7 linked regions of the Callithrix jacchus genome follow. The protein of the gene in region 3 interacts with the protein of the main gene of each other region in a pairwise test. Links are inferred from orthologs where the notes say so. Each region holds a gene or a part of one and is shown on either strand. Other genes may lie near its edges.

Region 1 (3,957 bases), on a different chromosome or scaffold from region 3:
GAGCCTCTGGGCCAGGCCCAATTTCTGTTTCAGCAGCATTTGCTGGAGGATGGCAGAGGCTGCTTGCCAGGTCTGCCGTGGGAAATCAGCTTCTTAAAATTTCCTGCTAGAGACGCTGTGTCAGTGCAGAGGTCACCTGCCCTCGCTCCACGGCAAGGCACTTACAGACAGGATCTGCTCACCCCCTAAAAATGTCAAGGGTAATGCAAGCCTTTCCTCAGAGCCCCGAAGTTGGAGCCCACTGCTGTCTCCCACGTGAGTGGTGAACCTTTAGAGGCAAACGGGAAGCTCCCACGGTCTCTGGCTGGCCCAGGTGCTGAGGCCGCGCAGCCCAGAGCGGCGGGAGTGTGTAGGTGGTGGGGAAATTCCTTTTCTGACTGTTTTTTAGCAGTTGGGGAGGAAGGCCTGGGAAAGACCCACTGCTGGCGGCTGATGTCAGAGTGAGTCACACTGACTTGTGAATGGGTCCTTGTGTTTCCTTCTCTCCACAGACCCGTGCCTACGGGGACGTTTCACTGGGGAGGGCCACTGTGGGCAGGATGTCTGGTGCGCTTGCCCCAAGAGGGCGCTTGGCCACTTCAGAGCAGTGACTGGTCACTTGTCACTGGGAGAGGCCTCTCTGCCCGCTCAGTGTCAGGCTGAGGGCATGGGCCAGAAAAGGGCAGGGCAGAGCCTGCTCAAGGTCAGGGTGTGGATGTGAGGTCAATGCTAGCTTGCACAGGAAGTGGGGCCTCTCGGCATGAACCCGGGTGGTGTGGAGCAGGACAGAGCTGGGTTCAGGTCCTGGCTCCACCAGACTGGTTAGGGCACTGGATCAGTTTCCAACAACAGACATTTATTCTCTCCAGTTTCTGGAGACCAGAGGTTCAAAATCAAGGTGTTGGCAGAGCTGCGCTCTCCCTGAAAGCTCCTGGGAAGGTCCTTCCTGTGTCTTCCAGTTTCTTGTGGCCTCAGGCATCCCTTGGCTTGTGGCCACATCACTCCCGTCTCTGCCTCAGTTGGCATATGGCTTCTCTGTGTCTCTGTGCGGCCTCTCCACTTATGGGGACCCACCCTACTCCAGTGTGACCTCCTCCTAACCAATCGCATCTGCAAAGGTCCTATTTCCAAGGGAGGTCTGAGGTTGCTGGTGGACATATATTTTAGGGGACGCCACTGCACACACCACGTGACCTTGGGCAGGCACTTTGCCCTTCACAGCCTCAGCCTTCCTGCTTTTAAGATGTCGCCGTTGAGGTTCACTAGGGAAGCCTGGGGTATGAAAGAGCCATCGTCTGGCAGAGGAGACTCATTCCACAAAGACCAGGGGTTACTTTCTAATTATCCGGCGGATTCGGTCTCCAGATTCACAAGCTGGCATCCAAATGGAAGCCTGGGATTCATGGTTGGATTTATGGGCCAAGATGTCTGTTTCACGCGTGTCTGAGGACAGAGACAGACACATTCCCGGGGAGAGAGAGGAGGGCCCCTCCCACCAAGACACTGCGGCCTTGTCAGATTTCAGAGCTGGTAAATCATGACAACGCTGAGCACCGTCTGTGTCCTGGGAACCGGGGCGGGTGCGCCATAGACTCAGGCAACATTGTTCTTGAAGAGTGAGAGCCCTCATCGTTTTGTAGAGAAAGAAAAGAGAGCGAGTGGACCTGACTTGACTAAGGTCACGCCACTCATCAGGAACACAGAAAAAATCCACATGTTCTGATGCCAAGTCCAGAATCCTTTCTACCAAACCCCAGCCTCAGGCTCCAGAGCAGGGAATTTTGATGATTCTCAACATGTGTCTAAATAATCCTTCCCTGGAGAGGCCAAGGAGAGAGCACTGAGCTCATTCTGATAATACAGAAAGAGGTCACATAGGACTCGTGTGTCTCCCATTCGAGGCCGAGGGCAGGAAGCCCTGACTACCCATGTGCACCGGCCTCCAACACTGTCACGGTCACCCAGTCAGGCTTGATGCTTGGCACACCCCTCTGGGGCAGTTTCCCGGGCTGTTGGCATATAGCTAAGTGTTTGAAAAACCACTAAATGCGAACAAGACTATTTCCACTGAAGGAGAAGACCACTGTGGGTCCAGAAGCTTCCTATCGGCATACATTTTTATATGAAGCTTCCATCGGCCCCCGTTTCCATATGAAGCTTCCATCGGCCCCCGTTTTCATATGAAGCTTCCATCGGCCCCCGTTTTCATACGAAGCTTCCATCGGCCCCCGTTTTTATATGAAGCTTCCATCGGCCCCCGTTTTCATACGAAGCTTCCATCGGCCCGTGTTTTCATATGAAGCTTCCATCGGCCCCCGTTTTCATATGAAGCTTCCATCGGCCTGTGTTTTCATATGAAGCTTCCATCGGCCCCCGTTTCCATATGAAGCTTCCATCGGCCCCCGTTTCCATATGAAGCTTCCATCGGCCCCCGTTTTCATATGAAGCTTCCATCGGCCCCCGTTTTCATACGAAGCTTCCATCGGCCCCCGTTTTCATATGAAGCTTCCATCGGCCCCCGTTTTCATACGAAGCTTCCATCGGCCCGTGTTTTCATATGAAGCTTCCATCGGCCCCCGTTTTCATATGAAGCTTCCATCGGCCTGTGTTTTCATATGAAGCTTCCATCGGCCCCCGTTTTCATATGAAGTCTTCCATCGCCCGCGTTTTTATATGAAGCTTCCATCGGCCCGTGTTTTCATATGAAGCTTCCATCGGCCCGCGTTTTCATATGAAGCTTCCATCGGCCCCCGTTTTCATATGAAGCTTCCATCGGCCCCCGTTTTCATATGAAGCTTCCATCGGCCCGTGTTTTTATATGAAGCCTTCCATCAGCCTGAATTTTTGAAGGCTGCAGTGGCTCAAAAACGAGGCTCTAGTTAAATTCTTCAGCCTCAGGTTAAGACCATGTCCACGCACCCGGCTGAAAATCCAGAAGTGGACACGGAAGTGCCTCGGTGAGGACGGGTGCATCCACTGAGCCCAGGAGAAAGCCCACCCCGCCATCCCACCATTGCTGTGGGCTCTGCTTCCCTGGAAGCGACCCACTGCCTCTGTGTGCTGGGAGTTCGTCCCTGCCACGAAGGGCTCACTCACTGTGAACCCGGCCCTGTGTTTTCAACCGGCCAGGGCTGCCCACCTGCTAAGAGAGATGCTTCTGTGGCGAAGGTCATGGCGAATTCCCGAATGACGTCTGCGGGGCCGCCGTTGAGGAAGAAGCCGAGGTAGCTGATGGAGGAGTGGAGAGCCAGGGGCACGGCTGTGGGGAAGGAGCCCAGGAGCCTGTCTCCAGCTCTCTTCAGCGCCTCGTACAGGCACTCCACCTTCTGGTCTTCACACTAAGGGAGAGACAGAGCCCGTGTTTCCTCGCCTGTCATCAGAAGTTGTCTAATAATTTAATAACAATCGACGGTGATTCAAGTGACTCTTTTCTGTTCAAAATGCTCTAACAGTTTACCTCGTGCCTGTGTGTCTGGGGCTATGGATTTGTTCTATACTCGGACCTCAGTTTTTCAATATTTCAGTCAATTTCTTTGCAGGATGGTGTCTCCTCTAGGTGCCCAGGCTGGAAGTCCCCTGGTCCTCAAGCTGCATCCCCTCCCTCCATGGCATGTGTTCATCACCTGCTGAGCCCTTTCCTCAGTCCCATGGTGTTGCTCAGGTTTGCACTATTTGGCTTCTGGAGGTTTCCAGCACACTCCAAGGCTGCCCAGGCACTGCTCAGAACCTGCAGTGCAGGGGGACTAAGCAGTGGAGGGGGACTGAGCAGTGGAGGGGGACTGAGCAGTGGAGGGGGACTCAGCAGTGGAAGGGGACCCAGCAGTGGAGGGGGACCGAGCAGTGGAGGGGGACTGAGCAGTGGAGGGGGACTGACCAGTGGAGGGGGACTCAGCAGTGGAGGGGGACTCAGCAGTGGAGGGAGACTCAGCAGTGGAGGGGGACTGAGCAGTGGAGGGGGACTCAGCAGTGGAGGGGGAC
Region 2 (3,957 bases), on a different chromosome or scaffold from region 3:
CTAACACTTACCTAAACTCGTGGGCTTGATGAGAACATCAAGGACATCATAAAAGGGCAGATTTTTTAACTGCACATCAGGATGGACAGGAGGAATTGGGGGAGATGGCTGCTGCATCTCAAATGTGGGCTTAGTATCTTGAAGCAGCACAGAACCAACAGGAGAGGATGGTGAGTGAGGTGTAACTGAAGTGGAAGGCAACGAGTGGATTCCAGCCACGGCCAAGTCAGGTTCTACAGGTGATGAGCTACCATCCAAACTGAAAACCGATGATTTGATTGTGGATAAATCAGAAAGTCCTTCAAGAGTTCGTGGATATCGGCGTCTATACAATTCTCGGATTTTAATCTGAACCGCAGGGCTGCAGCCACTCTTCAATAAATGCAGCGCCCTCATCAGGAGGTCATGCTTGCGTCCACTTTTATTCCGTCCAGCAAAGCCTAGTAATACTTGTAGTTCAGAAACCCTAAAACTAGAAACCATATTCTAAAAGGAAAGAAAAAAAACAGAAGCCAAGTCACCCTTAAGCATACAAAAATCCTATCTAAAATATACTGTAAAATGTGATTTTTCCAGCATTCTATCAACTGGCATGTGCTAGTAACAGCATTTCACATACCACTTAGAGTCACTACCATTCGTAAGACAATCCCGTAAAAATTACATTCAAGTTATGCTGTTAATTATATTTTGTTGCATGAGATCTTAATTTTGGTAATCTATAGTCTATTGGTTTCTACTACCACTTCCTTATCTGATTATGCTCTAATATACACAGATTGCTTTATGACTATAAAATCTATCACCAATGAAAACATTCCTTTTCAAAACCAACCCCTCCCAATACGCAACTTAATGTTTGTTACAGAATTATCACCAGTTAACCAAACAAATTAGATTTTCACAGTGTTTGATGTGCAAATTTTGATGCTGAGTAGTCAATCTATTAAAAAAAATCTAGACAGCACTGTGATCTAAAATGCAATAAATGTTTTGTCCCAACTCAAACATTAAGGAACAGACAACATAATAAAAGATATTTTAAAATATTAAAGCTAAAAAGCACATACATCTGATTTAGCAGTCAGTCAAATTTCTAAAATGACTCAAATTCCCAGCTGGGTATCCAAATGGGAAAAACACCTTTGAAGAGCAAGGAAATGAGCAGTCATCAATCTTAAAGGGCAACATTTCCTCCACACTACTCTACTGACTTGTGCTTGGGTGTAAAACAAAGGTTATAAGCAGTTCCAGCTTCACATTGCATCTTCTATTTTTTTTTTTTTTTTCAGCAAAACTTGGTATTTTTAACCCCTTGCAGCCTCAGGAATCCACCAACTTAGTGATTTCCAGTCACTGAACTCAGAGGCAAATCACCCTTGGGTCAGATGCCACACATGCAAGAAAGAGGAGGAAGATCTGAAGCTGAGCAAAGCCCTGTCCATCCTGTCCCCATCACTCCCCTAACCCAGATCGTGCTACACACTCAACAGTTACTTGGGATTCCTTTTCAACCTGTTCTTCTCAACAGTATAGTGGCAATGTGAGGCAGTTGCTCTGTACTTTTAAGTCTCAGGGATGGCCCAGAAGCAATTGTTTAAGACCCTGTATGGCTTTTAAATACATGCTAGTTTACTAAAATGCAAAAATAGATTTAAATATACCAAAGTAATCCATGTACACTGTACCATAACTGTACTTTGTGTTCTATATATGTCTCCATATTTCATATTGTACAAGTCAGAAAATATTAAATTGTAATCCTGGCAAGCATTTTATACTCTAATTCAGTGCTGTCCAACACAAATGTAATAGCAGTCATATTAAAAGAATTAATTTAGGCCAGGAATGGTGGCTCACACTTGTAATTCCAGTGCTTTTGAAGCCCAACACAGGAGGATCACTTGGGCCCAGGGGTTCAAAACCAGACTAGACAACATAGTAAGATCCCTTCTCTACAAAACTTTAAAAATTAGCTAGCCATAGTGGTGCATGTGCCTGTGGTCCCAGCCTCTCAGGAGACTGAGGCGAAAGGATCACTTGAGCCCAGGAATTTGAGGCTACAGTGAACTGTGATCACAACACTGTACTCTAGCCCTGGGCAACATCAAGACTGTCTCGAAAATAATAATAATAAATTAATAAAGTTATTTAACCCAATATATCAAAAGTATCATTTCATCTCAACATGTAATTTTTGTAATTTAAAAATAATCATTTTTTAAAATATCAGTGGGGTATTTTTTCATATTACGTCTTTAATATCTGGTAAATATTTTTTACTTATGATACATCTCAATTTGGACTAACCACACTTCAAGTGCTTAAGACCCACATGTGGCCACTAGCTACCACATTGGGCAGTGCAGCTCTAAATCATTAATAACACACATACCACAATGCCATAGTCACTGTATTTCAACTTGCTTTATTTCCTCCACATGCAAGATGAAGATTTTATTCATCTTTGTTGTCTTACCTTTACAGTGCAGACAACAAAGATAGAAAACAAGAAAATTTTTGGCCTCTCTCACAACAAACCAGTTACAGCTTACTCAACATCTCATGCATTAAATGGAAGACAATAGCTTCTTAGGAAGGGTTTACCCATGTAAGAAATAACGATGCATCTTTCCCAAAGTCCTCAATCTTATTAAACACTTCAACTGATTGCAGAACTCTAACACTAAAAAAGGCAATCACACCAATACAACATAACTATGATTTTTTCAGACTAACTCAGAATTCATTACTTTGCTTCACTCCTTATACTTATTGTCAGATATTCTTCATTCTAAGGGAACTTGTTTTACAGAAATGACAAAATACAAAGTCACCCTACCTAAGCTTGACTCTCAAAGGAATTTCTAGAGGTCTCATTATCTCATATTTCCAGTGATAACGTTATTTGGCGAAGGATGTTAAAGCAACTGGCTGTTGTACATAGACAAATAAAAAGTAAGAAAGAGATAAGGGCTTAGATTATGAATATCACAGAATTCTGAACAGCCGATAGGACAGTCTTTGCATTACAAAATGCTACAAAGATCAAGTACTGCTGGACACACAGCCAAAGGTAATGAAGTCAATAGGGCCCCGTGAAAAACTTCAGGCCAGCAATCAGCAGCAGTTGTTGTTCAAGCCCAAGCACCAAGACTTCGGACCCTGGGAAAGTCATTTCATCCCTACGCTCATCAATTTCTATTTTAGAATGATAACAAACACCCCAAAAAAGTTAGCACTTACTGATAAAATAATCTCAAAGCAGCTTACTAAGTAAAATTTTATGAATACTTTTGTTGTTGTTTTTTGCAAATCTTACTAGATCCCACTTCCTCTTAAAGTAATACCTACTTTTTTTTTTTTTTTTGAGAGGGAGTTTCGCTCTTGTTGCCCAGGCTGGTATGCAACGGTGCAAAGTCGACTCACAGCAACCTCCGCCTCCCAGGTTCAAGTGATTCTCCTGCCTCAGTCTCCCGAGTAGCTGGGATTACAGGCATGTGCCACCATGCACGGCTAATTTTGTATTTTCAGTAGAGCCAGGTTTTTTCCATGTTGGTCAGGCTGATTGAGATCACCTCAGGTGATCCGGCCACCTCGACCTCCCAAAGTGCTGGGATTACAGGAGTGAGCCACCGTGCCTGGCTTTATTTTTTAACTTAGTCTTCCATCAAGTTTCAGGTCCTTCCCCCAGTGAGTGGGTATGGTGAATAGGGAGGGTCACCAGAACCCTCATGGGGGGATAAGGTTAGCATGCTATGAACACTACCAAGACTAGATTTCAGTTGTTTTTCTCCACCAAACTCTGACATCGGTATCTTTACTCTAATGTTTTTCAAGCAGTTTTTCCACTCCACCGTGCTGCCTTCCAGAGGCTCCCTAGTCTGCCCACTTCAGTTAAAACTGCTATGTGCTCTACAGAGGAATTTCCCTACAGAGAAATGTGTTGGCCTAATT
Region 3 (4,427 bases):
TCACTCTGTCACCCAGGCCAGAGAAAATGATGTGATCTTGGCTCACTGCAGTCTCTACCTCCTGGGCTCAGGTGATTCTCCCACCTCAACCGCCTGAATAGCTGGGACCACAGGAGTGCACCACCACACCTAGCTAACTTCTTTATATTTTTTGCACAGATGAGTTTTCACCACATTACCTAGGCTGGTGTCAAACTCCTGGGCTCCAGAAATCTGCCCACCTCGGCCTCCCAAAGTGCTTGGATTACAGTCGTGAGCCACTGTGCCCAGCCTTGCTCTTCCTTTAAAGCCTCTTGTCCTTCCTCAGGTCCCCAGTTCATAGCAGGATCATAGGTCATTGGGCGCCCCGCCCCCTCGTCTTCAAGATTCCCCTCCCTGTGTCAGTGCTCAGGCCCAGGGTCAGATGTGACTAGAGCCTAAGGGGCTGTCACCGTCCTCTCTTGCTGGGACTCACAGAGGGAGATCTCAGCAAGCCGTCTGTCCATCACATGGGCAAACGAAGAGCATACCGTGGGCTGGATGCAGCGGCACAATCCCAGTAATTTGGGAGGCTGATGTGGGAAGATTGCTTGAGCCTAGAAGTTCTAGACCAGCCTGAGCAACATGGCAAGACCCTATCTCTACAAAAAAGTTTAAAAATTAGCCAGGTATGGTGATGCATGCCTGTAGTCCCAGCTACTCGGGAGGCTGAGGCGGGAGGATCACTTGAACCTGGGAGGGTGAAGCTACAGTGAGTCGTGGTTTCCCCACTGCACTCCAGCCTTGGTGACAGTGAGATCCTGTCTCAAAAGGACAACAAAAAAGAACATATTCTGATGCAGAGTAGGGGACATTGCTCTGACAGAGGCTCAGGGGCCTGAGCTGGCTCTGTGAACTGGGGAAGAGGCGGACAGCCAGGCCTTGTCTGCAAGCAGGAGACCTGGCAGCGCTGGGTTGGCCGCCCCCCAGGGCCTCCTCTTCGTGCCCACTGAATGACTCACCTTGGCACAGACACAATGGTCAGGGGTGGGCACACTGCCTGCTTCCCGCCGCACCCCAGCCCCCCTCAGATGCTTTCCGAGAAGCCCATTGAGAGGGGGCTTGCCTTGCACACCAGCCTGACAGCCTGGCATCTTGGGATAAAGGCAGCACAGCCCCCTAGGGGCTGCCCTTGCTGTGTGGCGCCACCGGCGGTGGAGAACAAGGCTCTATTCAGCAAGTGCCCGGGAAAGGGGATCAGAGGAGGTCCAGGCATGGACAGTGGGTGGCAGGGGGGAGAGGAGGGTTGTCTGCTTCCCAGAAGTCCAAGGACACAAATGGGTGAGGGGCCTCGGCAGGGTTCTGACCCTGTAAGACCAGAGTGGAAAGCATAGATGGACCTGAAGTCTCCAGGGACAACAGGGCCCAAGTCTCAGGCTCCCAGTTGGACCCAGTGGCTCCTGAGTTCCCAAACCCATCCATCCCCAGAGGTCCTTCTCATCTCCACAGCCTGATGTGTGGTAACTTGAGGAGATAAATCTCCAGTGGGAGATGGAGGAGTGGCCAGGGAAACAGGAGCAAAGAAGCAAAGATTCGAGCCGGCACAGCCAGCTGATGCATAACTGCTTTGCGGAGCTGTCAAGGCCCAGGCTCTGGGAGGGGGGCGCAGGGAGGCAGGCAAGGAAGGGGTGACCCGGAGGGACAGACCCAGGGGCTGAAGTGCAGCCATGGACTGGGCCAGAGAGCACCAGCCCCTTCTTGCCCTATCAGGACCTCCACTGCCATACAGAGACCATGACTGACCTGAGACAAAGGGCTGGTGTCCAATCCCAGCCCCCAGCCCCAGAACTCCAGGGAATGAATGGGCAGAGAGCAGGAATGTGGGACATCTGTGTTCGACGGGAGGAGTCCAGGGGTCTGCTGGGAATGGGGCCTAGTCGGAAACTATGATATAGACGCCCCTTGAGGAGATGGAACAGGTTTGTTCGTCACCAAATTCCCAGCACCTTGCAGGCACTTACAGCTGAGTGACAGAAGGCCTGGGTTATCAAAAAGCTGGAAGGCAGGTCAGAGGTCATCTGGTACAGCCCTTCCTTTTTTTTTTGAGACAGGGTCTCTGTTGCCCAGGCTGAAGTGGTGCAAAGACAGCTCACTGTAGCCTCAACCTACTGGGCTCAAGTAATCCTCCCACCTCAGCCTCCCAAAGTGCTGGGATTGCAAGTATGACCCACCCCACCCTGCCCTTCCCTTCCTTTTTAATTGATGCATAATAATCGTAATATTCATTGTGGTCCAACCAACCCTTCTTGACCCACCTTCCTAGAGAGAGGGTCCTCTTGCCTCAGTGGTCAGGGCCCCGGACCCATGGTCTGGCTCCAGGCACCACCTGCCTCATGCAGGAGTTGGCGTGTCCAGGAAGCTCTGCCTCTGGGCACAATGACCTCAATGGGGTGAGAGGAGCTCTCCCCATAGCTGGGCTGCAGCCCAACCCCACCCCCTCAGGCTATGCCGGGGGCGTTGCCAGGGGCAGCAAGCATTGCCAGCCCAGCCCACTCCTTCATAAAGCCCTCATGTCTCAGGAGCAAGCAGAGCCAGGGCAGGATGGAGAGGAGACGCATCACCTCCGCTGCTCGCCGCTCCTACGTCTCCCAGGGGGAGATGATGGTGGGGGGTCTGGCTTCCCGTCGTCTGGGTCCTGGCAGCCGCCTCTCCCTGGCTCGAATGCCTCCTCCACTCACGACTCGAGTGGACTTCTCCCTGGCTGGGGCACTCAATGCTGGCTTCAAGGAGACCCGGGCCAGTGAGCGGGCAGAGATGATGGAGCTCAATGACCGCTTTGCCAGCTACATCGAGAAGGTTCGCTTCCTGGAACAGCAAAACAAGGCGCTGGCTGCTGAGCTGAACCAGCTGCGGGCCAAGGAGCCCACCAAGCTGGCCGACGTCTACCAGGCTGAGCTTCGAGAGCTGCGGCTGCGGCTCGATCAACTCACTGCCAACAGCGCCCGGCTGGAGGTCGAGAGGGACAATCTGGCACAGGACCTGGGCACTGTGAGGCAGAAGTGAGAAGGAGATGGGGAAGGGGGGGGCCTTGTGAGCAGAGGGGGCTGAACCCCCAAGAGGGAGTCCCCGAGAAGTCTCAGGCAGGGGCTGAGCCTCCCTGCTCCCTGGGTCTCCCTACCTCTTGATGGGGCCTTATCCTTGCCCCTACAGCATGATGAGAGGGACCAGAAAGAGGCCAGGGCCCCGGGGATCTGATTCCCAAACACCTTCTGCCAGGGAACCAGGGTCCCCTCAGCACCTCCTCACTGAGGAAAGCAGTGCAGGAGCAGCCGGGCCCCCAGCAGCCGGGCCCTTGCGTTTTCACTCATGGCTGGGCCTTGTGACTGTGGGCAGCGAGCTCACCTATTCTGAGCCTGGGTCTGTATAAAGGAGTTGGAAGTGGAGAAGGTTGGCATCCAGGAGGGAGATTGGATTCTGGGGTAAAGGAAGTGGGGGAAAGCGCAGGCAGGCCTGGGTGTAGAGCACAGGTGACAGCCTGACACCAACTTGTGACCCCCGTCAAGTCACTCTGACTTGCACAACTATGAAGCAAAGCTCATAATAAAATTCATTTCAGAAGGTGGTTACCTGGGATCAGAGGAATCCCCAGGGGCATGGCGCTTCACTGAGCTGGCAAGGCGCCTGTGTGCCTTCAAGTGCAGGAGGGTGTGTGTGTGTGTGTGTGTGTGTGTGTGTAGCAGTGAGTATATGTCAGTGGATGCGCCTCTGTGAGCAGGAACAGGTGCACCAACCCTGATAAGGCACCTTGGTAATGAGTTAAGGCAAAAGCGCGCATCTGCTCATCCTCCAGATGAGGCCTCTGTCTAAAGCCCCCCAACCCTTACTCCTCCTGCTGCTCTGCTGGTCCTGGGTGCGGGTGGTCTCTATGACAGTTGCCTCCAGGGAGATTGGGGCAGAGACCCAAGTGTCCTCATAAGAGCCTGGACCCAGGAATGTGTCCCCCAACTCCAGGCTCCAGGATGAAACCAACCTGAGGCTGGAAGCGGAGAACAACCTGGCTGCCTATAGACAGGTCAGGGAGGTGGAGGGAGGGGCTAGGGAGGGAGGAAAGGGGTTGATGGCAACCCACCCAAACACAGCCCCCAAGCTCAGCCCTCCAGAGCAATGTGCTGCTCCCCACTGCCCCAGAAGGAGGGGTAAGGCAAGGCTGAGGCATGGGGAGGAAGAGCCTGAGGCCCAAGTGGCCCTCTGCTCCTCACCACTCCTGCCACTCCAGGAAGCAGATGAAGCCACCTTGGCCCGTCTGGATCTGGAGAGAAAGATCGAGTCACTGGAGGAGGAGATCCGGTTCTTGAGGAAGATCCATGAGGAGGTGAGGCCAGGGAAGAGGGAGGAAAGCTCAACACAGAGATTGCAACTGAGAGAAGGAGAGGCAGAGACAGAGAGGCTGAGAGTGAGAGAGACACTCA
Region 4 (3,957 bases), on a different chromosome or scaffold from region 3:
AAAGTTGAGTAAAAGGTGCTTTTTTGTTTGTTTCTTAAAATTTTTATTTATTTATTTATTGTGTTGTATTCCAGGATGTTTTGATATGCACAAGGAAATAATTACTACAGTTAAGCAAATTAATGTATTATTTATCTCACATAGTTATTCTCCTTTTTTGTCTGATAAAAGTACCTAAAATCTACTCTCTTAGCAAATTTTCAGTATATAATGGGGTATTATTAACTGTAGTCCTCTTATTGGACGTAATGTCTCAAGGCTTAGTTATCCTATAAAATGGAAACTTTGTACTCGTTGACCTCCGTCTTCCCATCCCCTCTCCTTGCAGTAACCACCTTTCTGCTTTCTGTTTCTGTGTGTGATGCATCTTTTCCTTGAAAATTGTTTTAACCTTTGCAACTACAAGGACATTTGTTTAGACTTGACCATTGCATTTCCCATTTGGTTTTTAGCATCTGTTTTTTTTTTTTTTTCCAGAGATCTTTGCCCTAATTCATTTATGGAGTGACTTAATCATGTTGAGCAATTTTTTGCCCTCAGAATTGCTAGTGCTATGCCCTCTTATTCTCTGCATTTTTCAAAATGATTTTCTTTTTCTCATACCTAGGAAGGATAATTTGATTGTAAATTGAATTCTTTATGTAGAATTATAGCTTAATTTTTTAAAAATTTCATCTTGAGTCTATTATTTATTTATTATTATAGATGAACAGCTGATAAGTCTGTCTTTCTTTTGCACGTAATTTGTTATTTATCTACCCCTATCCAAATGCAGGCTCACACTTATTCACTCCTTCTCCAATCTAGTCATTGTAAAGGATTTTCTTTTTCCTTGAGTTTTGAGATTCAGGAATTAGGGTTTTTTTCTGTTTTTCTTTGTTTCTCTTCTCCACCCAAGGCTATTGGATGAGCGCTTCTGAGAAATTGACTGGGGAAAATTTTCTTATATATTTTTAAAATTAATGCTCTTCTCCCATCATCTTTGCTCCATCTTTCTGGAAGCACTAATAAATGTATATTAGATTTTCTAGAATCATTGTTCATGTGTCTTTCTTTCTTATAACTTAACATTTATTTACTACCTTTTCCTGAAATGTAGAGAATTCCCAGGTTAATTTAGGTTTCAGCACTCTCTGTTCTTCCTTTTGTGTATCTGGGCATTTTTTTGTGGCACGTAATTTTATATTTGCAAGTTTTTCTTGTTCTTGAATTATTATTATGTTTTTCATGAGAGTCTGTTTTAGCATTTTAACCTCTTGAGTCTCACAACCAGTAGGAATTAATTATTTTTTGAAAAGTTTGTCTTTACTGTTTTCAGTGTTATACTTTGTATTAGTGCAGAGCATTTGGTCTAACTGGCTGTTTTTGGGGTATCTATTTGTTATTTGATAATTTTTAATTGTTTATGCATGTTTTTAAAAAGTGTGTCAGTGTAGGATGATTATAGGGGTCCTCTTTCACCCCCTTAGTGGGCTCTTCAGTATGCCGCTTGGCAGTGAGTCATACAGTGACATGTGGGGTGCAAGTCACTGAGCCATTCCTAATTTTAGATATCTTGTTTAATTTTTCTCCTTTGTAGTCAGTGGAAGTATTTCAGTCGAAATTAGAAGACGCTGAAAAAGCTGCATCCATAAAAGAAGATTATAGACGAGAACGGTGGAGGAAACCCACATATTCAGATAAAGCAAAAAATAGTCAAGAAAGTAGAAAATCAGACTTAGTAAAATATGATAACAGTTCACGTGATAGATATGCTACAACAGACTCTGCAAAAAATAGCAATAATGATAAATGTATTGGTGATGAAAAAGATAAGAGGCCTGGCTCTTTAGAAACATATAGAAGAGAATCTAACCCAAGGCAAACTCAAGAGTTTTCTTCTGGAAATTTGAGAGCTAAATTCTTGAGACCCTCTGATGATGAAGAACTGTCATTTCACAGCAAGGGCAGAATATGTGAACCATCTAGTTCATCTTCAGCATTGGTAGCTCAGGGTTCTTTGCACAGTGGTTTCAGAAAACCCACCGGGAACAGCGAAGAAAGATTAACATGGAGTCACTCTGATGGGAGAGGAGACAAGAAGCATTCAGATCAAACGCCGCTGGAAACCAGTACCAGTGAATACCAACACATTACCGAAGATACGAGAGAAAAACCGCGAGATGAAGGCTTCAGAGATGACCCTCCAGGCAAACACCTGCAGGACCCAAAGGCTGCATTTGCTGGGTATTTTATCATTTTTTAACCGAGAGTTCAAAGAACTGAAATGTAATTTTAGAGCATCAGTTGTTAACTGTGACTGTGGTCTCACACATCTTAAAATTGATAGAAAGGGTAAGATAGGCACGTTTAACAATGCAGTAATATTGTATTATAGATTGCATTTTTTTTCACAGGTTTGCTTCTTTTTTAGAAGAGCTGAAAGAATTCAGTAGCTGTATTTTTTCAAAATATGTTGCTTCTTTGCAATTCAAAAAACAGAATGAGTTAATGTTTTCAATGTATGTGCTGTAGGAGAAATTTTGGTAGATTTTGTTACCAGTGCCATTATTTTCTAAGTAAATTATCTTATTAAGTATAATCATAATCATAAATAATGTATGTCTGCAGGAAGTCTAGGAGACAAAAGGAAACCATACTACCACAGCCCAATATAAACAAATATGTGCCGGAGATCTTGCAAAAGGCAGCATGAATTATGGTTGTTATTTTGCACAGAGAAAGAAATAATCCACTTTGGACGATTGACAGATTTTAAAGATAATGTTAGAGTTTTAAGTGTAAAATATATGTTGCACTTATGTAGGGCTGGGTCAGAAGATGAGGAAACCCCCGTTGAATGAGACCAAACCTAAGAAAACTTGCTTTAGCTATAAGGCTGGCCCTGTTGAAGATAGCCAGAAAAACAAAAAGTGTCCAGAGTGTAATAACTTACACTTGAATGATCATTTAAATCTGGCACCAAATGAGTGGGACACTCCTAAAACGTCTTCAAAAAAAGGAAGAGGTTTTAGGAAGTAATAGAAACCCTTTGGTTGTAGTAAATAAAAGCACTGTGGTTTGGGGTGGTGAGTCTGATAAATCACTTTTGTTAATGACTCCATCTGAAGCAGTGGATTATAAAACTCAGTGTGTAACTTTCAGTGGGAGGGAGCTGGCAAAATCAGAACCGTGTGATTAAGCCCCAGTCAAATGGGCTCTGGTTCAGGTCAGGGCTTTGCTCCCAGGAAACAGAAGGAGAAATCCAATTGTATTGACTGAATAAACATGGCAGGGATTAGTGCCTAAGCCTGTGTGCATATATAATTATCCTGTCTTCTCTCCAGGTACCCTGGGTGGTAGACTGTTTTCAGTTCCCAGCCACTAGGAAATGAGGCTGTTATTTCCTGATATCATTAGGATTTGGGTTAGCATTTGGATGATCTGTAGGTCTTCTGTGACTGTAGCTGAGCAAAATGTCTACTACACAATTAGTATTCCAACTGGTTTTCTGATTGTTGCATATTTGCATGTCTTGTTTAAGTTGTGATCTTCTGATAGATACACTATAATACAGGCACTCACTAAAAGCTGTGTATGTATGTGTGTCTGTGTGTATATATAATTTTTTGGTTTGAAGAGAGCATTCACTAAAAGGTATATGTGTGTATATATGTATGTATATTTGTAATTTTTGGTTTGAAGATACTATTCTTTGTTATCTGTGTTAATTTGATAGTAGAGAGGATTTGAGGCTTTCTGTAATTCTGTGACTGGCCGGAGAGGGAAAGAAAAATCTAGGAATCATCCAAAAAAAGAAAAAAGATTCCTCAGATTGTAGAGTGGTTGTAAAGTAGGAGACCAAGATAGAATGCCTAGAAAGGTTCAGTGAAAGATTGTTAGAAATTATTCATTTGTCGAACATTATCCTGGGAATATGTTGAATTTTTTATGAAGTGCTAGAATTCCAGAAAGTTC
Region 5 (3,957 bases), on a different chromosome or scaffold from region 3:
ACCAGCTACCGCTCCATTTTTCTGCACCCTTTACAGCAAACGCTTCTAAGTGTTGTCTACATTTGCCATCTCCATTTCCTTCCTGCCTGTTCTCTTGAGCCCATTAGGATGTCAGCCCCACTCCTCTCCAAACACGCTCTTTCCTGACAGGGTCCCCGGCGGCTACCATGGTGCCGGCTCAGGGTTTAGCCCACAGCCTAGCAGCAGTGTCTGACTCAGCGGTTCCCCTCCCCTTCCCCCCACAAACCTTTCCTCACTTGGCCTCCAGGAAACCATGGCTTGCATCCGTCCACCTCCCTGGTGGCCCCTTCTCAGGTCCCTTTGCTCTTTATAAATGGTGGTAGTGAGAAGGGGGACCCTGTGGGGAGCAGGACTCAGTCCTCAGCTTAAAATACTCTCTGTAGGGCCAGGTGCAGTGGCTCACACCTGTAATCCCAGCACTTTGGGAGGCTGAGATGGGCAGATCACTTGAGACCAGGAGTAGAGGTATCTACTAAGAATACAAAAATTAGCTGGGCATGGTGGTGCATGCATGCCTGTACTCCCAGCTTCCCAGGAGGCTGAGGCAGGAGAATTACTTGAACCTGGGAGGCAGAGGTTGCACCACTGCACTCCAGCCTGGGTGATACAGTGAGACTCTGTCTCAAAATGCATACATAGATACTCTCTGTAGGTGACAACTCACATTTCTGCCCCCGGCCCAGACCTTGTTCTGAGCCCTGTTCCATATCCAGCAGGGCTTTAATTGGAGGTTGTGATAGAAAATACCACTTCTCTCCCAGGAGCCATTTTTCGTTCTTCCTTAGTAAAAGAATCACCAGCACGTCACTGCCTGGAATAAATGTGACATTTCCCTGCCTTCTTTAGAGTTAGGGGCAACTTCATGACTAAATGTTGTCCGGTGAAATGTAAGTGAAAATCTCCATGCCTCCTTCCTGGTAGCTGGACTATGTATGTGATGGCTGGTGCTCAAGCAGCCATCCTGCGCTAAGAAGTGACAGCCAGGAGACAAGGATAGCAGGACATGGGTCAGTGACCACAGAGCTGCCATATCAGCCCTGGACTGTTTTCCTGAGGATTTAGACTACACACAAGAGACTATTTTCAGATGCTGTTATTTGTGGTTTTCTGCCACATTCAAGCAAATCTAATCCTAATAGATACAGATATCTAATGAACTTTGCATACTTAACATATCTAAAATTGTAATTTTGATTTCCACCCCTCCCACCCCACCAACCTGCTCCTCCCACTATCTTCCCCATTTCCGGAAATGCCAATTCCACCCCTCTAGTTGCTCAGGCCACAAGGCCTGGAGTCGTCTCTAATTCCTCTCTCTCACACGCCCCCACCCAATCCTTCATCCAGTCCTGTAGACTCTACCTTCCAAATATATCCAGAATCTGACCCTTTCCCAGCACCCCCACTGCCAGTGCTGTGGTTCCGGCCAGCATGGCCTCTCACCGTGAGCACTGCAAGGCCTTCCTAGAGGTCCCCTTCCTTCCTCCTCAGCCCCTCGCATCCACCCTCAACACAGGGGGTCAGGCTGGGAATCCTGTTCCACCTAAGTCAGATCTTGTCACTCCTCTGTCCAAAACCCTCCAGAGTTCCCTGTCTCAGTCACAGAAGAAGCCAAAGTCCTCTCCAGCAGCCTCTCAGCAGGACCTCGACCCCCTGTCTCTGCGGCCTCGGCGCCTGCCCCTCCCTCACTCCACTCCAGGCACCAGGCTCCTCGCTCTTCTCCGAGCAGGTCTGATGGGTCCTGCCTCAAGGCCTTTGCCCTTGCAGCTCCCCCGCCTGGTCGCCATTTTCCCAGCTCCACACACGGCTCCCTTCTTGCCTGCTTTTGGGTCTCTGCTTCAACGTGTATCCAGTCTACTGTCCTCTTTCCTGGCACTCCTACTCCTGATGCCACATCATATGGGTGTGAGACTATCTGGCCTGTCTCCCCTGACTAGAAGGGAAACTCCTTGAGGCCAGCTCCTAGGGCAGAGCACAAGGCCTGCTACAAGGAGATTTGTGCCTGGAAGGCAGCAGGAGCACAGGGGCCAGCTCTGCCGGCTCTGGGAAAAGGGGAGGGGCAGTCACCAGCTTCTCCTGGACTTGCTGCTTCTGAACCAAGCGGATCTGCTCCAGCTGCTCCTGGGTCATGCCCTTCCAGCGGTCGGGGACCACACGGTGGGGCCCGAAGGAGCTGGCTGCCTGCTGCGGGTTCTCAGAGAGCAGGTCCCCACGCAGCAGGTTGGTGATCTCGGCCAAGTTGTCCTCTAGTTCTTGAGCTTTCTCTTGCTTTTTCCTTTCTGCTGACTCAATGGCCTAAGCAGGTGAAGACATGAAAGAAGATGGTCTGAGTGACCCCAGGGGTCTTCTGATACCCAGGCCAGCAAATCTCACTGGGGGCCCTCGAGGGAAGGATATGCTAAGGGCAGCAGGAGCCGGGTGGAGGGGAGACTTGTCAGGTACGGATGTGGGAGTGTCCCGGAACCTCTGCCTGAGCACTGCTGGGTGGATGGGCTAGACTCAGGGGATCACCCCCGCTGGGTGTGTGCCTAAGAGCTCTGGGTCTTGCACCAGCTTGCCAAGGCAGGGGGCTCCCTCCCTGGGTTAGGCCACCCAGGGCAGGGCTCTGTGCCCCTGGCAACCCTTGGACATTGGTGGGCTGCAAAGAACACCCGACAGAGTGATTCACAACAGTGATGACTTCTCAAAGTTAGAAAATGCACTGTCACCTCAGTCGTGCAGTCCTCAGTGCAAATCAATTCCAGGTCTAATTTCTGTTCCATTCCCTGGGAGGTCCCTGGCTGTGTGACCTGCACAAGTCAACCTCCCCTCTCGGGGCTGCAGTCATTTCTCTGTGAAGTCAGGAGATGGCGTAGGAGGCACGTACTTGGGTTAACAGTTGTCCTCAGTAACACATGGACAGGGCAGTTTGCAAGGGGCCAGCAATCCACAGGTGCTCACCAGAGGCCACTTCGCTGAGTCACACAGCACAGGCTTTGAAACTGGATGGGCCCAAGTTCAAATACTGGACTTGCCACTAAGTACTCCCTAAGAAAGACAGCTCATCCTTTCAAGCCTCTTTCTTTTCTTTTTTTTTTTGGAGACAGAGTCTCACCGTGTCGCCTGGGCTGGAGTACAGTGGTGTGATCGCTGGTCCCTGCAACCTCCACCTCCTAGATTCTCCTGCCTCAGCCTCCCAAGTAGCTGGGATTACAGACGCCTGCCACCACACCCAGCTAATGTTTTGCATTTTTAGCAGAGACAGGGTTTCATCATGCTGGCTTGGATGGTCTTGAACTCCTGACCTCCTGATTCACCCACCTCAGCCTCCCAAACTGCTGGGATTACAGGTGTGAGGCAATGCATTGGCCTCTTTTTTTTTTTTTTTTTTTTAAAGACAAGGCCTTACTCCATTGCCCAGGCTGGAGTGCAATGGTGCCCTCAACTCACGGCAGCCTCAACCTCTCGGGGTCAGGTGATTCTCCTACCTCAGTCTCCCAAATAGCTGAGGCTATAGGGGTGTGCCACCACACCCGGCTAATTTAAACTAAAGTTTTTAGAGACAGAGTCCCACAATATTGCCCATTCTAGTCTTGAACTCCTGAGATCAAATGATCCTCCCGCCTCAGCTTCCCAAAGTGTTGAGATTATGTACATGAGCCATGGTGCCTGGGCCTGAGCCTGTATCTTTGTTGGTTAAGTTGGATTAATCACGCCTCTGTGGTAGGGCTGCTAAACACAGTGACTACGAAGAGCAGCTAACTCTTGCTGGGATTTAAAATAATGGCCAACCAGGCGGATCACGTGAGGTCAGAAGTTTGAGACTAGCCTGACCAACATGGTGAAACCCTGTCTCTACTAAAAATGCAAAAAAAAAAAAAAAAAAAAAAAAAAAGTCAGGCATGATGGCATGCCCCTGTAATCCCAGCTTCTCAGGAGACTGAGGCAGGAGAATCA
Region 6 (4,713 bases), on a different chromosome or scaffold from region 3:
GTAGGCTATTAGCACTTAAGTTTTGAGGGAGTAAAAAATTATACATGGATTTTTGACTATGCCGGGGGAGGGGGTGGAGGGGGGTGGATGTCCCTAAACCCTGTGTTATTCGATGTCAGCTGAATTAGATTCCATTCTTATCATTATCGTTTAATTAGCCATCAAGTTCTTTGGATTTATCCTAAATTCCTCTTCTTCATCCCTGCTGTCACTAATTTCATGCAAACACTCATCATCTCTCACCTGTATTACTGTAATTACCTCCTAATTAATCTTTCTATTGTTTCTCTCCATCTGATTCATTCCTTACCCAGCTGACAAATCACCTTTCTAAAATATAACTATGATCATGTCACACCCTGTTCAAAAACATTTGATGGCTTCTTTATTGCCTAGAGGAAAAAGTCTTAGCTCCAAACATCACAATCCAACTCTAATTACCACTGAGGCCTTATCTTCTGCTACTAACCCCTACATTCCCTACTTTCTGGATATATAAATTTCTTACCATGCCTCAACTGATTAATGCTCTTTCTCATTGCCATATTAATGTATGATGCTCTCTATCCAGAATGATCTTTCATACCTGTTAAACTTATACCTATTCAAGAACCAGTTCAAATATAAGCAGCTCAAATACCACTCATTCTGTAAAATCTTTTCTAATTCCCCAAGGTAGATTTTATTATTTCCTCCTTAGTGCTCCAAAGCACTTTGCAAATATCTCTGTTATACATCACTGATCAAACTGTATTATAATTATCTATTTTATTCATAATTTTATTTCCCACTTTTACAGAAGTCTCCAAAAACTAGATGACAAGAATATTCTTTGTATCTCCCAGTTGTGCCAAAATAATGTTTGGCACACTGTTTGCCTTCAGTAAGTGTTGAGGAATAACTAGGTTGTACCTCCTACCTTATTGTGAGCATCTGTGTGCCGGATGACATTCCTCAGGAGGACTTTCCCCAGTGGAATCCGGGACATTCTTCAATCTGAAATGAATCAACAAATAATGTTTAGTAATAATTTCTTTAATTATGTCATCTTTTCTTAAACTTTATAAAGAAGCATGAGGTAAAGGAAAGATCACTGAAAACTAGAAGTCAGAGATCCTAAGTTTTCCCTTTACTATTAAAAGAGGGAAATGCCTGAACACACTAATGTGAGATGAAAAAAGATAATGTACATTAAAGTTCTTTGAAAATGCACAAGACTGCATAAAAATAAATGCTTTCATGAGCACTATTTTATTTAATCCTCATAACTCTATTTTGTATGGGGCAAATATCTCCATCCCAATTTTGTAGATGAAGGTCCCTTAAAGCTGTAATATCCCAAGCCACACAGTCCCAGGCAAATGATGTAGGTCAATGTCTAGATTAAAAATCAAACCTCCAATCCCAACATTAGTTTGCAATGAAGCAAATACGTAAATTTGAGAGTGTCAGGAACCGCAGATGTCAACAGTAACAGAAACTAATGACTCAAAACATCAAAGGCAAAGATGTCCCAAATTTCTCCATTTGGGGGCATTTTATTTCCTGCTTGGTATGGAAGCTTCCAAAAACTAGATGACAAGAATATTTTCGTGTGTGGCTAGCAGGGCTTTGTGCAACCATCCCAACGCTCACTCACCCCTTGATCCTGAGGGAATCAGGCATCTTGTTAGTGAGACGAAGAACCACTCCATTACAAGATCTCCTCCGACCCAGGAAGCCAAGGAGTCAGGGCTCAAAGGCAGCTCTGCAGCTTCACCCGAGTCCTTCGTGAAAACGCAGCCTTCCCACTGGTTATTCTGCCCTCACCTGTGGCCCAGGCCTCTGCCGCCCTCAGCCCAGATCCACAGGCAGATTCTCTCTCCCGGACCGAAGCCGGATGCTGAGCCGGCGCGAAATTCGGACGGCCGGGATGACCCGGGCATTCCCCGCTCACGCTCCTCTGGGACGAACCCCGGGGGTAAGTTTCACTCCCCAGAAAAGATGGGAACGCTTTGGATGACTACGGCCTTAGGTTGGGCCCCAGGAAGTATCTAGGGGGCCTGAAGCGGGTGTTGAGGTTTCCAAATGGAAGACAGAGGAAATATCCCCATCTTTGTCATCGGGATCCCTGCCCCTCAGCGGCCTCGGAGCTCCCGGTAACCTTCCCTCCAAATGCCCTCCCCACACAAATACACACAAACACACCCATACCGTGCGCCGCAGCCTCGCGTGGCGGGGGGTAGGGGGGGAAGAAGCGATTTGGGAGAAAAAGGAGACTTCCTTTTCAGGCCGGAAGTCGTTCTCCTGAGAAATCTTCCCACCAACAGGCGGCCCAGAGACTCCCACAAGGGAGGGTTCTCGGGACACTCCAGAGACTAATTGGTGCAGAAGCGTGGCGGGTGCTTGCCTGTAAGGTGCTAGCTTGGCATCAGAAGGGAGACATTCCGGAACTAGATATAAAGAGACTTTTCTGCCTGAAACTCCCCGGACCCAATTAGATGTTGTACCAAGGCTGGTTACCCTGGTAACAGACGTTGCGGTTTGTCAAGGAAGTAAGAGGTGGGTTTGCCAACTTACAGATTACCCGTTAGAACTGAGAGAAGAGGTGGGTTTGCAGACCTATGGAATGATTACCCGTTAGTTAAGTTTGCCATTTAGCGTAACCCTAACATAGTAGTTGAAGAATCTAAACCTCCTCTTTCCTTCATTGTGAAGATGCTGTGGGAGACCTCTCTAATGGAAGAAGAGGCCAAGGAGAGTTATCTGAAGACCTAAAGGGTCCCAGCCTCTCTATTAGCTGACTTAATCCTCGCAATAACCCTATGATATAGGTATTATCATCTTCATTTTGAGCAGAACAAAGAGGCACACACACACACACACACACACACACATATTAATAATTGCTCAAGGTCAACAGCTAGAGACAGAACTAAGACCGGAATCTAGGCATTCTGGCTCGCGAGTCCATGCTTTGAATTACCAAACTATCCTGACGATTAAAGAAGTCTCACGTGGCCCTAACCCAACATAAGATTTCAGAACTGGCAATATTAGAAGTGGCAATTTCAGAACTGGGGAGATACGAGTCAGGTGTTGAAACAAGAAGATCAGGAAACCCAGACTTAAAATGATTACTCTGACTTGTCAGGGTCCAATGTAAGGCCTTATCTGAGAGGACAACATGAGAAGATAGGAGGAGGTACTAGATAATTAAAGAATAAGGAAGACATAAAGTGGTGCTGATCCACCTTTTAGACACAGGTGCTAAGTGCTAACTTCACGAGAACAATTCCTGCCCATTCCGCCTCCCCAAAGCAGAAATAAATCAATAGTTCCACAGACATTTTTCTTCCTGAAGTCATGTCTTTCCACAGGCTTAAGAAACTTATTCACCATTCATCAGTTATGGAAACATCCTCAAAGGGTCTGCTCACCCAAGTTACTCAGTTTTGGAATCTCCTAGATGATCTAGCTGAAAGTGACCCTGAGGGCTATGAGAAGTTTATTCAACAGCAGCTGAAAGAAGGGAAACAGCTCTGTTCTGCCCCAGAACCACAGCTTTGCCTACAGACCAGGATTCTGGTAAGTTGAGTTAGTGCCAGGGATGGGGAGGTCTTGAAATTATCCCAGAATAACCAGGGAATACCTTACACTTAGCTATTGCTACTTTTTTTTTTTTTTTTTTTTTTTTGAGACCGAGTCTTGCTCTGTCACCCAGGCTGGAGTGCAGTGGTACAGTCTTGGCCCACGACAACCTCTGCCTCCTAGCTAGGTTCAAGCGATTTTCCTGCCTCAACCTCTTGAGTAGCTGGGACTACAGGCATGTCCCACCACACCTGGCTAAGTTTTGTATTTTTAGTAGAGACGGGGTTTCACGATGTTGACCAGGCTGATCTTGAACTCGGTGATCCACCCGCCTCGGCCTCCCAAAGTATTGGGATTACAGGCATGAGCCACTGTGCCCAGCTAGCTACTGCTAGTTTAACACAAGAAAACTTGAGGGAAATTGCTTCTCATAGAAAATGAAACACAGCATGAAAAGACTATGTTGAAGGAGTAAAAATGGGAAATTCATACTTGATAGTTCTTGGAGATTTAAAAACCAGCCATTTTTTCTGCTAAAATAAAGATTAAAAAGTAGTGAAATGATTTAGTAGAAAATTATGGAGTTGGAATTTTTTCAAATAACTTATTTGGTTAGGGAGATAAAGAAGTGGTAAAATAAGGTCAAATTCACTTAGAACAACTGCTTCCTTCCAGTTCTGGGAGCCGCAAGTTTTGTTTGTTTGTTTGTTTTGAGATAGGGTCTTGCTGGCCCTGTCGCTCAAGCTGGAGTGCAGTGGCACAATCACAGCTCACTGCAGCCCAAACGATCCTCCCACCTCAGCCTCCCAAGTAGCTGGGATCATAGGTACCACCACACCCAGCTAATTTTTTTTTTTTTGAGATGGAGTTTTGCTCTTGTTGCCCAGGCTGGAGTGCAATGGCATGATCTTGGCTCACCACAACTTGACTCCAAGTTCAAGCGATTCTCCTGCCTCAGCCTCCTAAGTAGCTGGGATTACAGGCATGCACCACCATGCCTGGCTAATTTTGTATTTTTAGTAGAAACTGGGTTTCTCCATGTTGGTCAGGCTTGTCTCGAACTCTCGACCTCAGGTGATCTGTCCACCTTGGCCTCCCAAAGTGCTGGGATTACAGGCGTAAGCCACTGTGCCCGGACAGTTT
Region 7 (3,957 bases), on a different chromosome or scaffold from region 3:
AATCGGCTTTTGTGAGCCGGTGTGAGCCAGCTACAGTTCGCTGCTGGAGCTGAGGCCCAGGTGTGCATGAGAGCCAGGAGTCCTCCTTCCTTGCAGCTCAATAGGAAGAGCACTAGGTTCTTTCAGGGAAGGTAAATTCATAAAAGAACATGAGTTCAGGCCGTATAAACTGTTAGTCACTCATACGTTGCTATTTTCACTCTGTTTACATTAATTCATCAAATATTAATTTGATTGATTTTGTTAAAAACATCCTCAGTGCCTTGGAGAAAGAGTATCACATGAATCAGGCAGGAATTCTTTAGTCAAGGAGCCTACCACACTTGGCAGATAAGAGACTTCTGTGCATAATGAAGGGAGATAGAGGTAAATACCTTCACACAGGGGCAGATCAAGCACTGTGATAATTCAAGGTTAGAGTAAGCTTTTCTCAGTAAAAAGGTACCTACCAGAAGCCCTCCTGGTAGGGGTGGCACTTGAGTTCAGGCCTTATAACCTGAATAGATTTGGGAAAGCAGACAGAGCTGGGGCAAGGAAGATCATTCCAGGAAGGTAGGAGTCATGTGAACACAGCCAGGAGATGGGCACAGTTTGATTGGCATATGATGTGTAGTGTAAGAATTCATGGCTGGGGGCGGTGGCTCATGCCTGTAATCCTAGCACTTTGGGAGGTCGAGGTGGGTGGATCCTGGCCATCATGGTGAAACCCCATCTTAAAAAAAAAAAAAAAAGAATTCATTGGAAGGGCAGGTTGGAGAGAGGTGATGAGGGGACCTGGATGGAAGATTGACCAGTTTGGACTTGGCTCATTAGACTATGGGGAGTTGTCTTTTGAGCAGTAAAGGGAGAAGAAAAAAAGCCTGTAACATCTTGGGGGCTTTGCACCTCTCAATTACTCCTGACAGTTATGCAAGAATTGCTGAAATGGAGGACTTGGAGAAGATACAGTAATTATGTAAGGCAAAATAGTTGTTTAGTTCCAAAATCCGTGCTCATTGCACCAGGAAGTGACTTGGTCAGGAATGTGTATTGAGATGGATCTGAAGGCAGATCTGCATCTAAGAGGAGGACTGGGGAAGGGAGAGCAGTAGGAAGGTGCGTCATAGTTTAGGTAGAATTCCAGGCAGGAATTAGTACAAACTGCATTCAGGGTAGATGAAGTGGGATGTGTAAGCCATGATGGTAGCATCAGAGGACTTAGCCATCATCTAGATACGGGGACTGGATGCTGGGGAAGAATCAGTTGCTAAGTGTTGGTGACTAGGAGGATGTCACTACACTAACAGGTAACCAGGAGGAGGGGCCTTGGGAAGGAGAAAGGGCAGAGCTGATTTTTGGTTTGAATACATTACAGTTGAGAAATATGTGAGATATTTTGTTGGAGATACCCAGCAGCTAGCTGGAAAAGTGAAACAGGAGCTTGTTAAAAAAAAAACCAAAAAACAACAAACAGGCTCGGTGGCTCATGCATTTAATCTCAGCACTTTGGGAGGCCGAGGTGGGTGGATCATGAGGTCAAGAGATGGAGACCATCCTGGTCAACAAAGTGAAACCCCATCTACTAAAAATACAAAAATTAGCTGGGCATGGTGGCGCGTGCCTGTAATCCCAGCTACTAGGGAGGCCGAGTCAGGAGAATTGCTTGAACCCAGAAGGTGGAGGTTGCGGTGAGCCGATCGCACCATTGCACTCCAGCCTGGGTAACAAGAGCAAAACTCAGTGAAAAGAAAAAGAAAAAAAAACGTGAGGGCTCTGGCGGCATCCAGTAAAGATAGTTGAAGTCAGAAGGCCAAAGGCACATCCTTGAGGAGTGTACGTACAAATACGTCCTCAACCGAACACGTCCAATTGCTACTAAAATGCCAGCATGGCTTGCTTAAGGTCCACAGTTTTGGGTTTTGTTCTTTATTCTTCCGCGTCTTTTACGACAGCTTTTACATAAGACACGTGGCTACAAGTTGCCCACGACTTCCTGGGAACCTGCAGACCTTTAGTACCTATTTGGGTCAAACCGAATGTCAGGCACTTTTAGTAACATGAGTATTTCATTAAGACTCCTTCATTGTTAATGGCCGGGTTACTTCCTGGAGCGAGTTCTGAGCAGGAAACAAACAGATAATGTGCCGATAAGCTTTCTGGGAGGGGAGTTGTACTCAGCATGCCTTTTCTATCTATTTCATCAGGACTTTGGGCTCCAGCAGAAAATGTTTATTTTTCTAGGGGACTTACTGATCATTTTACTTTTGGGGGTGCGGGAGGGCAGGTCAAATCATCAAGGACATAGACTCTGGAAGTCCAGCAGAAGAGGCCGGCTTGAAGAACAATGACCTGGTAGTTGCTGTCAACGGCGAGTCTGTGGAAACCCTGGATCATGACAGTGTGGTGGAAATGATTAGAAAGGGTGGAGATCAGACTTCACTGCTGGTGGTAGACAAAGAGACAGACAGCATGTACAGGCTGGTAAGTAATATGAATAATAGCCATCGATTCGCGCAGTAAGGCCGGGCCCATTCACTCCTGTCCTCAAACTTTGCACTGTTAGGACTTTGCTCCTTTAACTGGAAGACGCCTAACAATCGTCATTAAGGCTGAACTGACCTCCAGCTGGTCGTGACGAGAATGCCAGATGACTGAGGAGTTTTAAGTGCTTGGTTCTTAAGATTTTGAAACCATTTGCGGACTTACTCGGTGATCTGAGAAAATCTATGGAGAACGTTAAGTCTGGAAATAAAATTGTTCCCAAAATAGGGAACAATTAGATTTTAAGCTTTAGGTCAGTTAAGTTCTATCAATGGCGTGTAAAAGCCTAGAAAGGATTATTAAACAGCTCGTAAACTCTTAGCAAATAAGAGAAACACAGACTAAGACCAAGCTGAATGAAACTCACTCTATTTTCTCTTAGCTCTTATAACACCTACTACTGCGTGTTTTAAGTTTTTTTGAACACTTTTAATACAAGAATTGAGGTTCAGTCTAGTTTAACAGGTATCTGGGGGCCTTCTAAGTACCATCTGTCTTGCTAGGTGTTTATCGTAAAGATGAACAAGATAAATGTTCTCTGTAAAATGCAATAATAGCAGATTCCAAAATAAATGATACAGAGGGAGGAATACGATGGGTGGTGATATATTAGGCCCTCCTCATAGATTAGGAAACTGAAGCTTAGAGAGATTAAGTACTTTGCTATTTGAACCCAAATTCTTGGATCTGTAATTCGTTATACCATATTCCTCCCTCAGCACATTTTCATGAGATATTTCAAGGGAATCTTGTAAGCAGGATTAAACAATGAATTGGTTTAATGGCCTTTTTAGTTACTTGAACTGTCATACCCAGAAAATACTTGATATCAACCTGAATAGAAGTCTTTAATGGCATGCTACTTGTTCCTAACCAGCTAATTTTTTTTTTTTTAAGATGGGGGTTTCACCATGTTGGTCAGGCTGGTCTTGAACTCCCTACTTCAGGTGATCCACCCGCCGTGGCCTCCAAAGTGTTTCGATTACAGGTGTGAGCCACCATGCCCAGCCTCCTAACCAGCTAATTAAAGTTGAAAGGAGATATGGAAAATATATTAACATACTTGGCCGCCTGTAATCCAAGCACTTTGGAGGCCAAGGCAGGAGGATCACCTGAGGTCCGGAGTTCAAGACCAGCCTGACCAATGTGGTAAAACCCTGTCTTTTTTTTAAAAAAAAAAGAACCAACTGCAGCTGCCATGAATGATGAGTCATTTCGAATTTGGCAGAAAAAGTCAAGCAGGAATTGGAGGCGGCTGCTGAAGTTGTTTGTTGTAAAGGGGATTCTAACCCCCTCCTGATCTTATAGAATGATTTAACTGTAATTTTTCTGTTTTGGTTAATATAGAACTTTGATCTAAAACGAGGCTTGCCCTCATCCTCTCCAAAGTAAGCCCTGTAGGTTGGGGTGAAGGGTGGATCTTTGAGATATATTAGT

The links.
Region 1: the proteins of GFAP (region 3) and UBASH3A interact in binary tests that used the Homo sapiens proteins (3 or more experiments, as listed by UniProt). The link is inferred for Callithrix jacchus from reciprocal best matches to the Homo sapiens genes GFAP and UBASH3A.
Region 2: the proteins of GFAP (region 3) and PIAS2 interact in binary tests that used the Homo sapiens proteins (3 or more experiments, as listed by UniProt). The two-hybrid records come from large-scale screens. The link is inferred for Callithrix jacchus from reciprocal best matches to the Homo sapiens genes GFAP and PIAS2.
Region 4: the proteins of GFAP (region 3) and CWF19L2 interact in binary tests that used the Homo sapiens proteins (3 or more experiments, as listed by UniProt). The link is inferred for Callithrix jacchus from reciprocal best matches to the Homo sapiens genes GFAP and CWF19L2.
Region 5: the proteins of GFAP (region 3) and RIBC2 interact in a two-hybrid assay, tested with the Homo sapiens proteins (2 studies listed by BioGRID and IntAct). The two-hybrid records come from large-scale screens. The link is inferred for Callithrix jacchus from reciprocal best matches to the Homo sapiens genes GFAP and RIBC2.
Region 6: the proteins of GFAP (region 3) and PIH1D2 interact in binary tests that used the Homo sapiens proteins (3 or more experiments, as listed by UniProt). The two-hybrid records come from large-scale screens. The link is inferred for Callithrix jacchus from reciprocal best matches to the Homo sapiens genes GFAP and PIH1D2.
Region 7: the proteins of GFAP (region 3) and PDZK1 interact in binary tests that used the Homo sapiens proteins (3 or more experiments, as listed by UniProt). The link is inferred for Callithrix jacchus from reciprocal best matches to the Homo sapiens genes GFAP and PDZK1.

Annotation. Positions count from the first base shown.
Region 1 is NC_133522.1:48,228,136-48,232,092, reverse strand, and holds part of UBASH3A (ubiquitin-associated and SH3 domain-containing protein A), read right to left. Parts: intron 3,318-3,957; coding exon 3,119-3,317; intron 1-3,118. UniProt on the Homo sapiens protein: Interferes with CBL-mediated down-regulation and degradation of receptor-type tyrosine kinases. Promotes accumulation of activated target receptors, such as T-cell receptors, EGFR and PDGFRB, on the cell surface.
Region 2 is NC_133514.1:89,982,570-89,986,526, forward strand, and holds part of PIAS2 (E3 SUMO-protein ligase PIAS2), read right to left. Parts: intron 487-3,957; coding exon 12-486; intron 1-11. UniProt on the Homo sapiens protein: Functions as an E3-type small ubiquitin-like modifier (SUMO) ligase, stabilizing the interaction between UBE2I and the substrate, and as a SUMO-tethering factor.
Region 3 is NC_133506.1:85,324,079-85,328,505, reverse strand, and holds the start of GFAP (glial fibrillary acidic protein), read left to right. Parts: upstream 1-1,519; 5' UTR 1,520-2,463; coding exon 2,464-3,017; intron 3,018-3,969; coding exon 3,970-4,030; intron 4,031-4,234; coding exon 4,235-4,330; intron 4,331-4,427.
Region 4 is NC_133511.1:7,235,960-7,239,916, reverse strand, and holds part of CWF19L2 (CWF19-like protein 2), read left to right. Parts: intron 1-1,579; coding exon 1,580-2,226; intron 2,227-3,957.
Region 5 is NC_133502.1:214,533,777-214,537,733, forward strand, and holds part of RIBC2 (RIB43A-like with coiled-coils protein 2), read right to left. Parts: intron 2,317-3,957; coding exon 2,089-2,316; intron 1-2,088. UniProt on the Homo sapiens protein: Microtubule inner protein (MIP) part of the dynein-decorated doublet microtubules (DMTs) in cilia axoneme, which is required for motile cilia beating.
Region 6 is NC_133511.1:11,775,494-11,780,206, reverse strand, and holds the start of PIH1D2 (PIH1 domain-containing protein 2), read left to right. Parts: upstream 1-1,859; 5' UTR 1,860-1,960; exon of another isoform or gene 1,961-2,288; intron 2,289-2,508; exon of another isoform or gene 2,509-2,587; intron 2,588-2,712; exon of another isoform or gene 2,713-2,813; intron 2,814-3,359; 5' UTR 3,360-3,390; coding exon 3,391-3,567; intron 3,568-4,713. Other genes in the region: uncharacterized protein NKAPD1, read right to left, coding at 920-988.
Region 7 is NC_133519.1:8,106,287-8,110,243, reverse strand, and holds part of PDZK1 (Na(+)/H(+) exchange regulatory cofactor NHE-RF3), read left to right. Parts: intron 1-2,263; coding exon 2,264-2,460; intron 2,461-3,957. UniProt on the Homo sapiens protein: A scaffold protein that connects plasma membrane proteins and regulatory components, regulating their surface expression in epithelial cells apical domains.